Linked DNA regions of Schizosaccharomyces pombe. The gene in region 1 interacts genetically with each later gene. Each region holds a gene or a part of one and is shown in the gene's direction. Other genes may lie near its edges.

Evidence for each region. A genetic interaction does not mean that the proteins touch.
Region 2: of mms1 (region 1) and hst4, a mutation in one rescues a mutant of the other (synthetic rescue), as found in Schizosaccharomyces pombe (one study listed by BioGRID).

What each region holds. Positions count from the first base shown.
Region 1 is NC_003424.3:593,381-599,359, reverse strand, and holds mms1 (E3 ubiquitin ligase complex subunit Mms1), read left to right. Parts: upstream 1-1,833; 5' UTR 1,834-2,082; coding exon 2,083-4,460; exon of another isoform or gene 4,461-4,500; coding exon 4,501-4,589; exon of another isoform or gene 4,590-4,628; coding exon 4,629-5,383; 3' UTR 5,384-5,459; downstream 5,460-5,979. Other genes in the region: inositol phosphorylceramide synthase Aur1, read right to left, coding at 1-444; SPOM_SPAC3H8.04 (chromosome segregation protein), read right to left, coding at 5,601-5,979.
Region 2 is NC_003424.3:2,191,494-2,195,493, reverse strand, and holds hst4 (histone deacetylase, Sirtuin family, NAD-dependent Hst4), read left to right. Parts: upstream 1-1,878; 5' UTR 1,879-2,012; coding exon 2,013-2,205; exon of another isoform or gene 2,206-2,330; coding exon 2,331-3,385; 3' UTR 3,386-3,430; downstream 3,431-4,000. Other genes in the region: CENP-A chaperone, CHD family Hrp1, read right to left, coding at 1-477; CENP-P family protein Fta2, read right to left, coding at 3,431-4,000. UniProt on the Schizosaccharomyces pombe protein: NAD-dependent histone deacetylase, which contributes to both telomeric and centromeric silencing, proper cell cycle progression, DNA damage control, recombination, and genomic maintenance.

The sequences.
Region 1 (5,979 bases):
CAAAATATCAAGGATGCTATGCGTGGTTTTCGAGAGAAGACTAGAAAGATTAGAGCCATAAAGAATATTTTCAAGTGTGGGTAAAACACGAACCCATATGGGTGGACGCCAGCGTTCTGGAATAAACCTACAAGAGTAAAATAAAATTGCCCAGGTGATGATAACAATGGCAGGAAAAAAAATTTGGCGTGTTAAAGGAACGGTCAACGCAATGGCCAAAAGACAGGCAATGCCAAATTTCCCCCAGAATCCAGGAGATTCAATGACAATACAAGCAAAAATCAAATTACCTGCTAGAAACACATATTGCAAATGTGTCCATGACCATTTCGTATTGCGTAGCAAACGAAATGTAGGCATAGGGTTTAAGCTTGTTTCCAACTTGTATTGGGATGCTCGGTTACACGCAGCAAGGCGCTTTTTTAAGGTCGAAAGAGCAGACATTGCTTCAAAGAATTATCAGAGTAAAAAAGGGAAGCGTACGAAAAAAATTTCGTAAGGAATTAACCGGAAAACTAAAGGAAAAAAAAGGAATTTTTATGAAGGAAAGAAAGTAGCTATTAAATGCAAGTGTCAAGCACTTAAAAGTAGCGATGTAAAATATTTAAAAAAAGATGGACCGATTAACCAATGTTCAGCTCACAGTTGCCAGCAATCAGGGCTATTTTTTTATTTTTTTTATAAAATTGCTAATTATATATAATATAATTAGTTTATTAACTTGCTTTTCCTCAAAAAACCAATTCGAGAAAGGAACTTTTGCAGAGGCAAAAAAGCTTCTCCGAAAGAGATACTAGTTTAAAAACCTTTGGTTGCAAATACAAACCAAAATACTCCAATTTAACTATACAATTGGAGTTAGTCGATTTCAATTGCCCCGTATAAATGGTTCTTTAGAGGTTGGTAGTGGCGAGCTGAGAATGGTACGGTCGGCTAGTATTTGTTTAGGTTTGGCAAGTGGTGTTACTGTAGCGCAACACAAGATAGCCTAGCGAAAACAACGTTATTTCGAAACTCTAGGTAATTGGAAGATATTCCTTCTCAGGTAACACTATTCGGCAACGGCAGCCAATAAAATATTTGAAAGCTAAGACTCGTTATTAAACAATAAGACACTAAGCTCCATATATAATTACCGTATCCAAGTTTACTGCACGGAAATGAGAAAGCGGAAAGTAAATCAGAAACAATTTTAGCGAAATAAAATATGAATTTCGATATAATAAGATAAAAACATTGCGGTTGAGGGTAGTATCAGATGAAGCAAATATATTATTGTAACTAAATACCTTAAGCGCATCTAGGACACGTACTTAAGCATGGGTCTATATATTCAATAACTTAGCAATGTTACGAAATATTTAGGAGGAATAGTTTTATGCACTCTTTAATACTTCAAATTTTACTTCCGTCTATATCTGTTGAATTAAGCATTCAAAATGACAATTGACAACATTAAAACAATGTAAATCTATTTGGAAGTACTAATTTTTGTTTTCGATTTCTTAATTAGGAAAACAAAAAGTGCCTACTTGCATTTTCACAGCCTTTTTCTTTGGATTCTGAATGTATACATTAGCACCCTGTTGATAATTCTTTCACGTAGGTAAAAAAGACATCATTAAGCTATTGATTTTAAATGGCCGTAGAAAATTCAAACTGTCGTAGGTCAGACAACACTTCTCTAAAGATGAAACCAAATCGTATATTTGTTAACTAGAAATCAAAATCATATATCGCATATTAATTGTTATCTTAATTTTTGTGTTCCTTAGGTTCTCGAAATTCCAACGATGGATATTCTTACATACATTCAACACAACCCAACATATTAACTCGAACAAGCCATGGTTGGTTGTCAATAATCCTTTCACATTTGGAGGAACTCGTAAGGATCTATCTTCTAAATAAGGGCGTTATATATATTTAAACCTGTACATATCTATTTTCATTGATTTTAATGTTTTTTCCGTATTTGCTAATTTCTTTGATGCATACGATTAACTAATAGCTTTTTCTATTCTATCAAAATTTGACTCTAATCAAATTAAATTGGTTCCAAGCGTTTAACTTTGTGAATTCATGGCAGAAATTATTCATCATTCAAACGTATTCACCTGGGCTTTTCATGTTTCCGAATATGATGGTGCTCCTCTCCTTTTACTTGGATCTTTTTCCTCTGTAGCTTCTGTGAGTTTAAAGCGATCTGGTGATTTACTACTTTTTGAAAGATTCACGTTGCCTGCAAGAACGAGGTCTGTTGCTTTGTTATCAAGCCATTTCCTTCAGTCAGAATCAGGTAGACATTCAATAGCGAATATTTTAATTGCTACTGAAAACGGAAAATGCTACTTGTTGCAGCTCGTCAAAACACCAGAAAAAGCGTTTCCGACGATTCGTATTAGAGATGAATTCGTTCTTGATACTCGAATGTACAACCATGAACAATTAGGAAAATCAATTGATTTATGCCCAAATGCTTCCTTGTGGGCTACTAATTCTTTTGCTGGTGATATTGTATTTTTCTTTTCACATCATCCTTCCTTAAGCAAGCAAGTCTTCGCTCAACTTTCTATCGATGGAATAATACTTCATACCATATTTGTACCTCCAAAAAGATCCTCTTCGTCTTGTGTTACGTATGTTTGTCTTTTTCTAGATTCAAATTCGAATCCTAGAATCAATGTTTATAGGTGGTCTAAGACGGAAACCTTTTCTGATGCTAGTTCTTACATAACCTTCTCAATACCGGTTCCATCCGAATTTTCTCTTGCTTCCCATATTATCCCTTGCTCCAATATTCCTGATCATTTTTTAGTATTATTGGAGACAAAGATTTGTCTGCTTTCTGTCCCACAGATAGAATGTGGGGATCTAAAATTTTTACAGACCGATCTTCCATGCAGCGGTTCACATAATTATCCATTGTCTATTGCAAATGATAACGAAACTCCGAATTGTTGCTATTTAACCTACGAAAATGGAGATTTGTATCGCATTCGTTACTCTATTTTGTCTATTGATATTAATTTAATTGGAAAGACTGGATCTTCTTTAGGAAATTTGATACTACCTTGTTATCCATACATTGTTTTTTGTGGTGACTGTTCTGATACATTAGTGTATGATGTTTCGGTATCGCCTATGTCCTTTTTTGGTAGCTTAATTGCTTGCGCTCCAATGTGGGATTTTGTGTATTCCTCATCAAGGCATAACACTTTGTTGGATGAAGACATCAATTGTAATACAGTTTATGCTACTGCTGGCATTGGTAAATCTGGGTGTTTGGTCACAATGCGTTACGGGTGCTCATCCACTACTTTGCTTGAAGCAATATTAACTGAGGGAGCTGTTTTATCAGGAATTATAAATTCTAACCACAACTCTGAATTTTACGCTTGGCTAACTTATCCTTGGCAAACACAAATTTTAAGGCTTCATCTCGATGGGGTCGTCGAAGATGTTACCGAAAGTCTTTTTTTGGATGATATAAAAGCTTTATATGTTATAAATTACCAAAATACGTTTATCATTATTACGGGAAAATCCATTTATGCTGTTACTCCTAGTTGTACAAAGTATAACCTTCTTGAGGTTTCAGGAGATGAAGAATTTGTTTTGGCTGCTTATAACGAATTAATTTTCATCGTTAAAAAAGATTTAATGAATTTCAAAAGTCAATTGCTTACACTAAAACTAAATACTCTTTCTAATGGTACACTTGAACTTCAGTCGCTTCCGGATTCCTTCGATCTACACGATGTCCCTACTTGTATTACTTCCTTTTCTTTGGAAAGAAAGCTACTGGTGATACTGGTTCATCCTTCACCTTATTTTGAATGCGTTTTCTATGATGAAACCTCACACTCTAGTGTCTATAAAGTCCCCTTAACAGGTTTTCAATTTGGATACCTTCCTCATAGCATATCGTATTTGAGAAAATCAAACCGCGCTGTTTATGTATTGATTTCATCCAACTCTACTCTTTTAACCGTCTATGTAACTCTAACGTTAGAGGGAGTACCGGATTTTAAAGTTTACTCTAATCCTATTTCAACAGACTTACCACTCACGTTACAGTCACCCTCCGATGAGTTTTCAACAATTTATGCATGGTCTGACTATTTGTATATAGTGGGTATCGATATGGAAACTGAACAACCTACGCTGAACCAGATACTTGAAGTAAATGACAGTTTTACTTGTGTTTCTGGTATTTACGATATTCCAAATAAGTTCCAGAACAGTGAATCAAGAATCATAGTGTATTATTCGAATAATACTTTGTACCTATCGGAACTTTGGCTTCCACAGCGAACCTTTTCTTCAAAACTAAATCTTGCAGCAACTCCCAAGAGATTACTTGTTGATAAATATACGAACACTTTAATCATTGGATGTTGTCACGTTTTAGTAAATGAAATTACAACCTCAGGTCTTGCTTTTTACGACTTGACTAAGTGAGTTACGTGTTTCTAGTGCCTACTAACAATTACACAGCTCGCGACTTTTCCCTGTCAATTGGCCTTCAATGGATATTAAAGGTAAACCAATATTCAAACCGGAGGAATTATTATATTCTATGTCTTGTAAGTTAGCTTTACTTTAATCACCTAACGATTATTTAGTTTGGATTGTAGCCGACGATCAAAAAAGAAAATATAGGTACCTTTGTATAGGAACAGGGGTACGAAAAAACGGATTAACTACAGGTCGTTTGTTAATTCTTACCATGAATAAAGATCATGACAGCAATGCTATAGAACTTCGCAATGTCATCACAATTAATATGAAAGACCCTATTTATTCCGTTTGTTCGATCGGAAAACATGGATTGTGTTATGCAACAGGACGAAAGATTGGTGTAAAGATGTTGGACTTAGACTCAAAGAAGTTTTGCAACAGTGATTGTGAGTTACCTGTTCGGTCTCCCATTGTATCGATGTCAACGTATAAGGACTATGTGTACACTTCTAGTTTAAGAGATTCTGTTGCCGTGTTCCAGTATGATAGTGAAAACAACTCCCTTAATTTAGTTTGCAGCGACACATCATCGAGACTAGGCATTGATTGCTTTTACATTTCACAAAAAAAATTATTGTTTTCTTGTGACAAAGACCGGTTATTAACTTGTTTCAAAGTTGAGGGTGAAGTTTGCACGTCTACCAGAGAACAAATGCTCCAGCCAATTCTTACTACAGTGTCTCAAACAAAAACAAATGCCTTAACTAACCATTTAAAGTATTCAGTTATTCGGGTGGATAAAGATAATCATAATATTGTTTGGGGATTGATGGGTTGTACTTTAGATGGGAATATCTTCAAGATCTTAATGCCTAACGATCCGACTTCGTCGGATACAATTATCTATTCTGATACTTAATGTTATCACACATTAGAAATTCCAATTTACAACAATAAATTTATCAGAGCAATACTAATGAACAATTTTTGGATGGTTTTAAATGACGTAGATAAGCAAAGAGTATAATATTAAATTAATTTAATATAAACTTGGAACGCATGAATGTTAATTTTCATTAAAAAAGAGTTATATAAGTCAATAAATCTTTACATGTCAGCAGTAAAAAGTTGGCTAGCTATCGACAACTTTCTGACAGCAGTGTTTCATTCACAATCTTCGTGTTCCCATATAACCCGCCTAAAGATTGCTGGACAAAAATAATTCTTTGAGAGTCATAAAGGTAATGGTGTCCTGCAGAAGTGCAAATAATTTGTAACTGTAATCCAAACTTTAAATGACTTAAAATTTTCCCACTTTTATCGTCTAGTTGCTGAAGATAATGTTTCTGGCGAATCCAGGTTTTAGAGCAATCAACCATACTTGAAACATTATAAGGCACCAAAAAAACTTTAATGACTAAACCGTTAGTTTGTCGAAGTATTAGTTGTAATTGCCCAACTGATGGAATTCTATATCCGAATGGATAGCCTTTATTCATGACTTTGTCGCTTTTT
Region 2 (4,000 bases), 1.6 Mb from region 1:
AATACTGAATCTATGTCTCTTATCATATGCGTCTTCATCATCGCTAGCCACAGACTTTTTTTGCTTTGGTGCAGGTTTGCTCTTTCGTTTTTTAGGAATCGGAATTTCATGCTCGTCAATTTCAGTATAAGAGAAATCACGATAAACGGGTCGTTTAGCCCTTGAAGAACGTCTTGTACCATCTACTCTAACATCGTCAGAGTTTTGCGCATCGTCAATTTTAGGGGTAGACAAAGCAGAAGATACAACTGTGCTATTAGCAGTGCTGGTTACGATTTCAGAATCATCAAAGGCAGAAGACGATAAAGATTGCTGCGAAGCGAAAGAATTTTCATGATTTAACAGGCCATTCATGCTAGGTAGAGAATTTGTTGTATTTCCAAACTGAGGATCAGTTACTGCAGAGCCATTTAAAGTAGACTCTTGAACGCTCGTAGGATGATTTTTTAAATCATAATTCGAATGTTCAGGCTCCATTCTTGTTACTCCAGAAAATTTATATAATGTTAAATGTTGAGAACGTCCACAAAGTAGGCGCTCCTTTGCAGACTCTCTTTTAAAAGCTTAAAATGCTTTTTTTTAAATATATATCTGGATATTAACAGTGAAGCAACAAAGGATTAATAGGAATAAGCAGTATGCCTATAAGGCTATTAATTGAAATTACTATGTTGTTGGCAGAAATTAATAGTGCAAAAATATGCAACACTATAAATGAAATGCCAGGCAATGCAGGTGATTTTGGTATCAAATTACTTCTCCAGAGTCCCTTTTTATTAATAAAATTTACCTTTTGAGAAGGATTCACTATTTTTACTCATGCAATTTCCACTCTCAATTTTTGCGAAAATGCAAGACCTTTACAAACAAAAAAATCCTTTGCCATAAAATGTACGAGCTATTCTCATTCACTCCATGGAAATTAAGTTAGCTTACAATTTTCATTTCCGGTTCGTATTTCCGAGCAAGTCTGCAGATTTTATTTCATTTTCAAATTAACTGTGCAAAACGTGAAGGCAAATTCGTATTTCATAAAATGCTTCAGTTCGCATGCTTTTATTAAATTTAAAGATCATTAATTTCAAAAAATTTCTATATATTTTATTGTTTACTATCCCATAACGTTAAATAGTTTACACAAAAACGTCGAAACTTTTCACATAAACGTATGCTTCTTTGTTTCAATTGTTCATGAAAACATAATGTATTTATTTACTTCTTTAATTACAATTGAGAGGGGAATCGAGACAGAGAAAACAATAGTTTCTGAAAGAAATAAACTAATTAAAAATTTGACCGATTGGTTTTACTAAATTTTTTTAACTGCATGGATATTTTACCAAAGATTCAAAGATATATTTATTGGTTTTGTTATTTTTTTGAGAATTTTATGAAAGACTTCACCTTCCAACTTTTTCAATTAAATGTCAAGGAAAAATACTGTACTTAAAACTCTTGAAAGTTTTCCCAATATTTAAGAAAATGGAACTTCAATTGTTTTTTTAAATTTTTGCAATCCCTTTTTGTTTTAATATTTTTATTACCAGTTTCTGTATATATTTATTTATTTCATTTGACTATTTAGACAATTTATATATTGATAGAAGGAGAAATCTCAGAAGGATTATTGAAGACTTAATTTTATTCTTTTTATTAATGTCAGCATGAAAGCTGATTTTCTAGTCTGAACATTTTATTAAATGGGTAAAAACAAAAAAATCAGTACTCTAAATAAACATTGGTTCAACGGCATTTTTAAAAGTGAATAGAGAAAAAAATTGCGATTACTGTTATACAAAGACATGGCGAAATTGAGTCTTTCAAGCGATATAATTGTCCTTCAACGGCCTTTCGAAACGTACGTAGACACAACCGCCTAACCGTCAATCACAACTTAATTCCTCAACCATTCCATTTTAGGAAGAAGTCGAAGAGTTCAATGATTTTAATATATTTTAATTAATGCACTCAACTTTTTGGATTTAAAAAATTCCAAATTTACGTAGCTTAGTATGAAAGTGGAGGAGCACGTCCCTCTAATACAGGAGTCGAGGAAGAGAAAATGCCAATCTTCTGAAAATGCTTCGAAAAGGCAGCAATTACTTTCCAAGCTTCCACTTAGACTTCATACAGGCAATGAAAATGTCGATTTATCTCCTTTAGTTTCTGCCATTCGCAAGGCAAAGCGCATAGTCGTTGTTACTGGTATGTTGCTTATTTATGGTTTTCCTTCTTTTATTTTAACTTTTCACTTAAAAAAAAAGTGGGATTAAAAAAAAAATTAAATATTATAATCGTACAAAGGCTCATTTACTAATACGTTTAAACAGGTGCTGGAATTTCTTGTGATGCTGGAATTCCTGATTTCCGTTCCTCTGAGGGTCTTTTCTCCTCCCTTCGTGCGGAGTATAAATTGAACTGCTCCGGGAAGGAATTGTTTGATGGATCTGTTTACAGAGATCTTAAGAGTGTTAACATCTTTCACGCAATGATTAGAAAGCTACATATGCTTTCTAATAATGCACGCCCCACTGATTTCCATTTATTTTTATCTCAACTAGCCCAAGAATCTAAGCTGTTACGTTTATACACACAAAATATTGATTTTTTAGAAACCAGACTCGAGGGCCTTCAAACATGTATTCCATTGCCGCAGTCTGCCCCTTGGCCTACCACGATTCCTCTTCACGGGACACTGGAAGTTGTAAGTTGCACAAGGTGCAGCTTTTTGAAAAAATTTAATCCAGATATATTTGATAGAAATGGTGTTACTGTTTGCCCTGACTGTAAAACCGAGAACGAGGTTCGTCGTATAGCAGGAAAAAGATCAGTTATCGAGGGTTGCCTTCGTCCTCGGATTGTTTTGTACAATGAGATACATCCGGATTCCGAATCTATTGGTTCGGTCTGTTCACAAGATTTAAAGTCCCGCCCTGACTGTCTAATTGTTGCTGGTACTTCTTGTAAAATCCCTGGTGTCAAAAGAATTATCAAGGAAATGAGCAACTGTGTGCATAAACAGAAGGGAAATGTTATTTGGTTGAATTATGACGAACCTACGAAAGATTTTTTGAACTTATGCGACCTGGTTGTACAAGGAGACCTTCAAATTGCTATTAGACGTCTGAAGCCTTTATTAGATGCTCCAAGTTGGAAACTCAAGTCCCATTCTGCCAAAAGAACTTCAAAACAAAAATCTTCCGAACAAACAAAGATTACTTCTTCCACTAAAATTACGAAAGCTATTGGCTTGAACACGAAAAGCAATGATAGTTCTAAGAAAGATAACACTTCTTTTCAGTTGCACCAAGTGCTCAATAGTATTGAAATACCCAAGGTGGAAATTAAACAAGAAGTTGAATATGCAACCCCTTCTCCGCTTTAACATTTAGCTTCAATAAACCATGTTAAAAATATCAATTTATCCTTCTTACCCCAAATGAGGTTTAAATAATGCCTGTAATAATAGTAGTGAACCTTCTCTGAATCCGAAAAGCGATACAAATTCCGAAAAACGTTTGTCTAATTGATTAAGCAACTTTGATGTGATGCTTACAATTTTTTCATTTTGATTCTTTAGTATATAAGAGATGCAGTAATTAGGTTGTACAAAACCAAGATCATCAAATTTTATCTCATAAAGTATTGTAATTTTGTAAAAGGAATTTTGAACATAGAAACATTGAGCGTCCATGTTTGCTGATGCCACTTTTTTCATATGCTTTGATAAATAAAACCACGTATTGCAGCGATATGAGTAATGGTGGGCAAATAATGAGAACGCTCTCAAAAGAGCTACTATATCGAGACATTGTATTGCAGAGTCCGAAAAACTACTGAGCTCTTTTCTAGCAAAATGCGGGATTTTATAAGTAATAAATAAAAGAGCATAATCGATTGTTCGGACCTTAATTTCTAGTAAAAATTTGAAGCTTGGGAGATATTCTATATCTCCTTTAAGAGAATGATGAATGATTTTCTCGGATTCCGCTTCAAATTC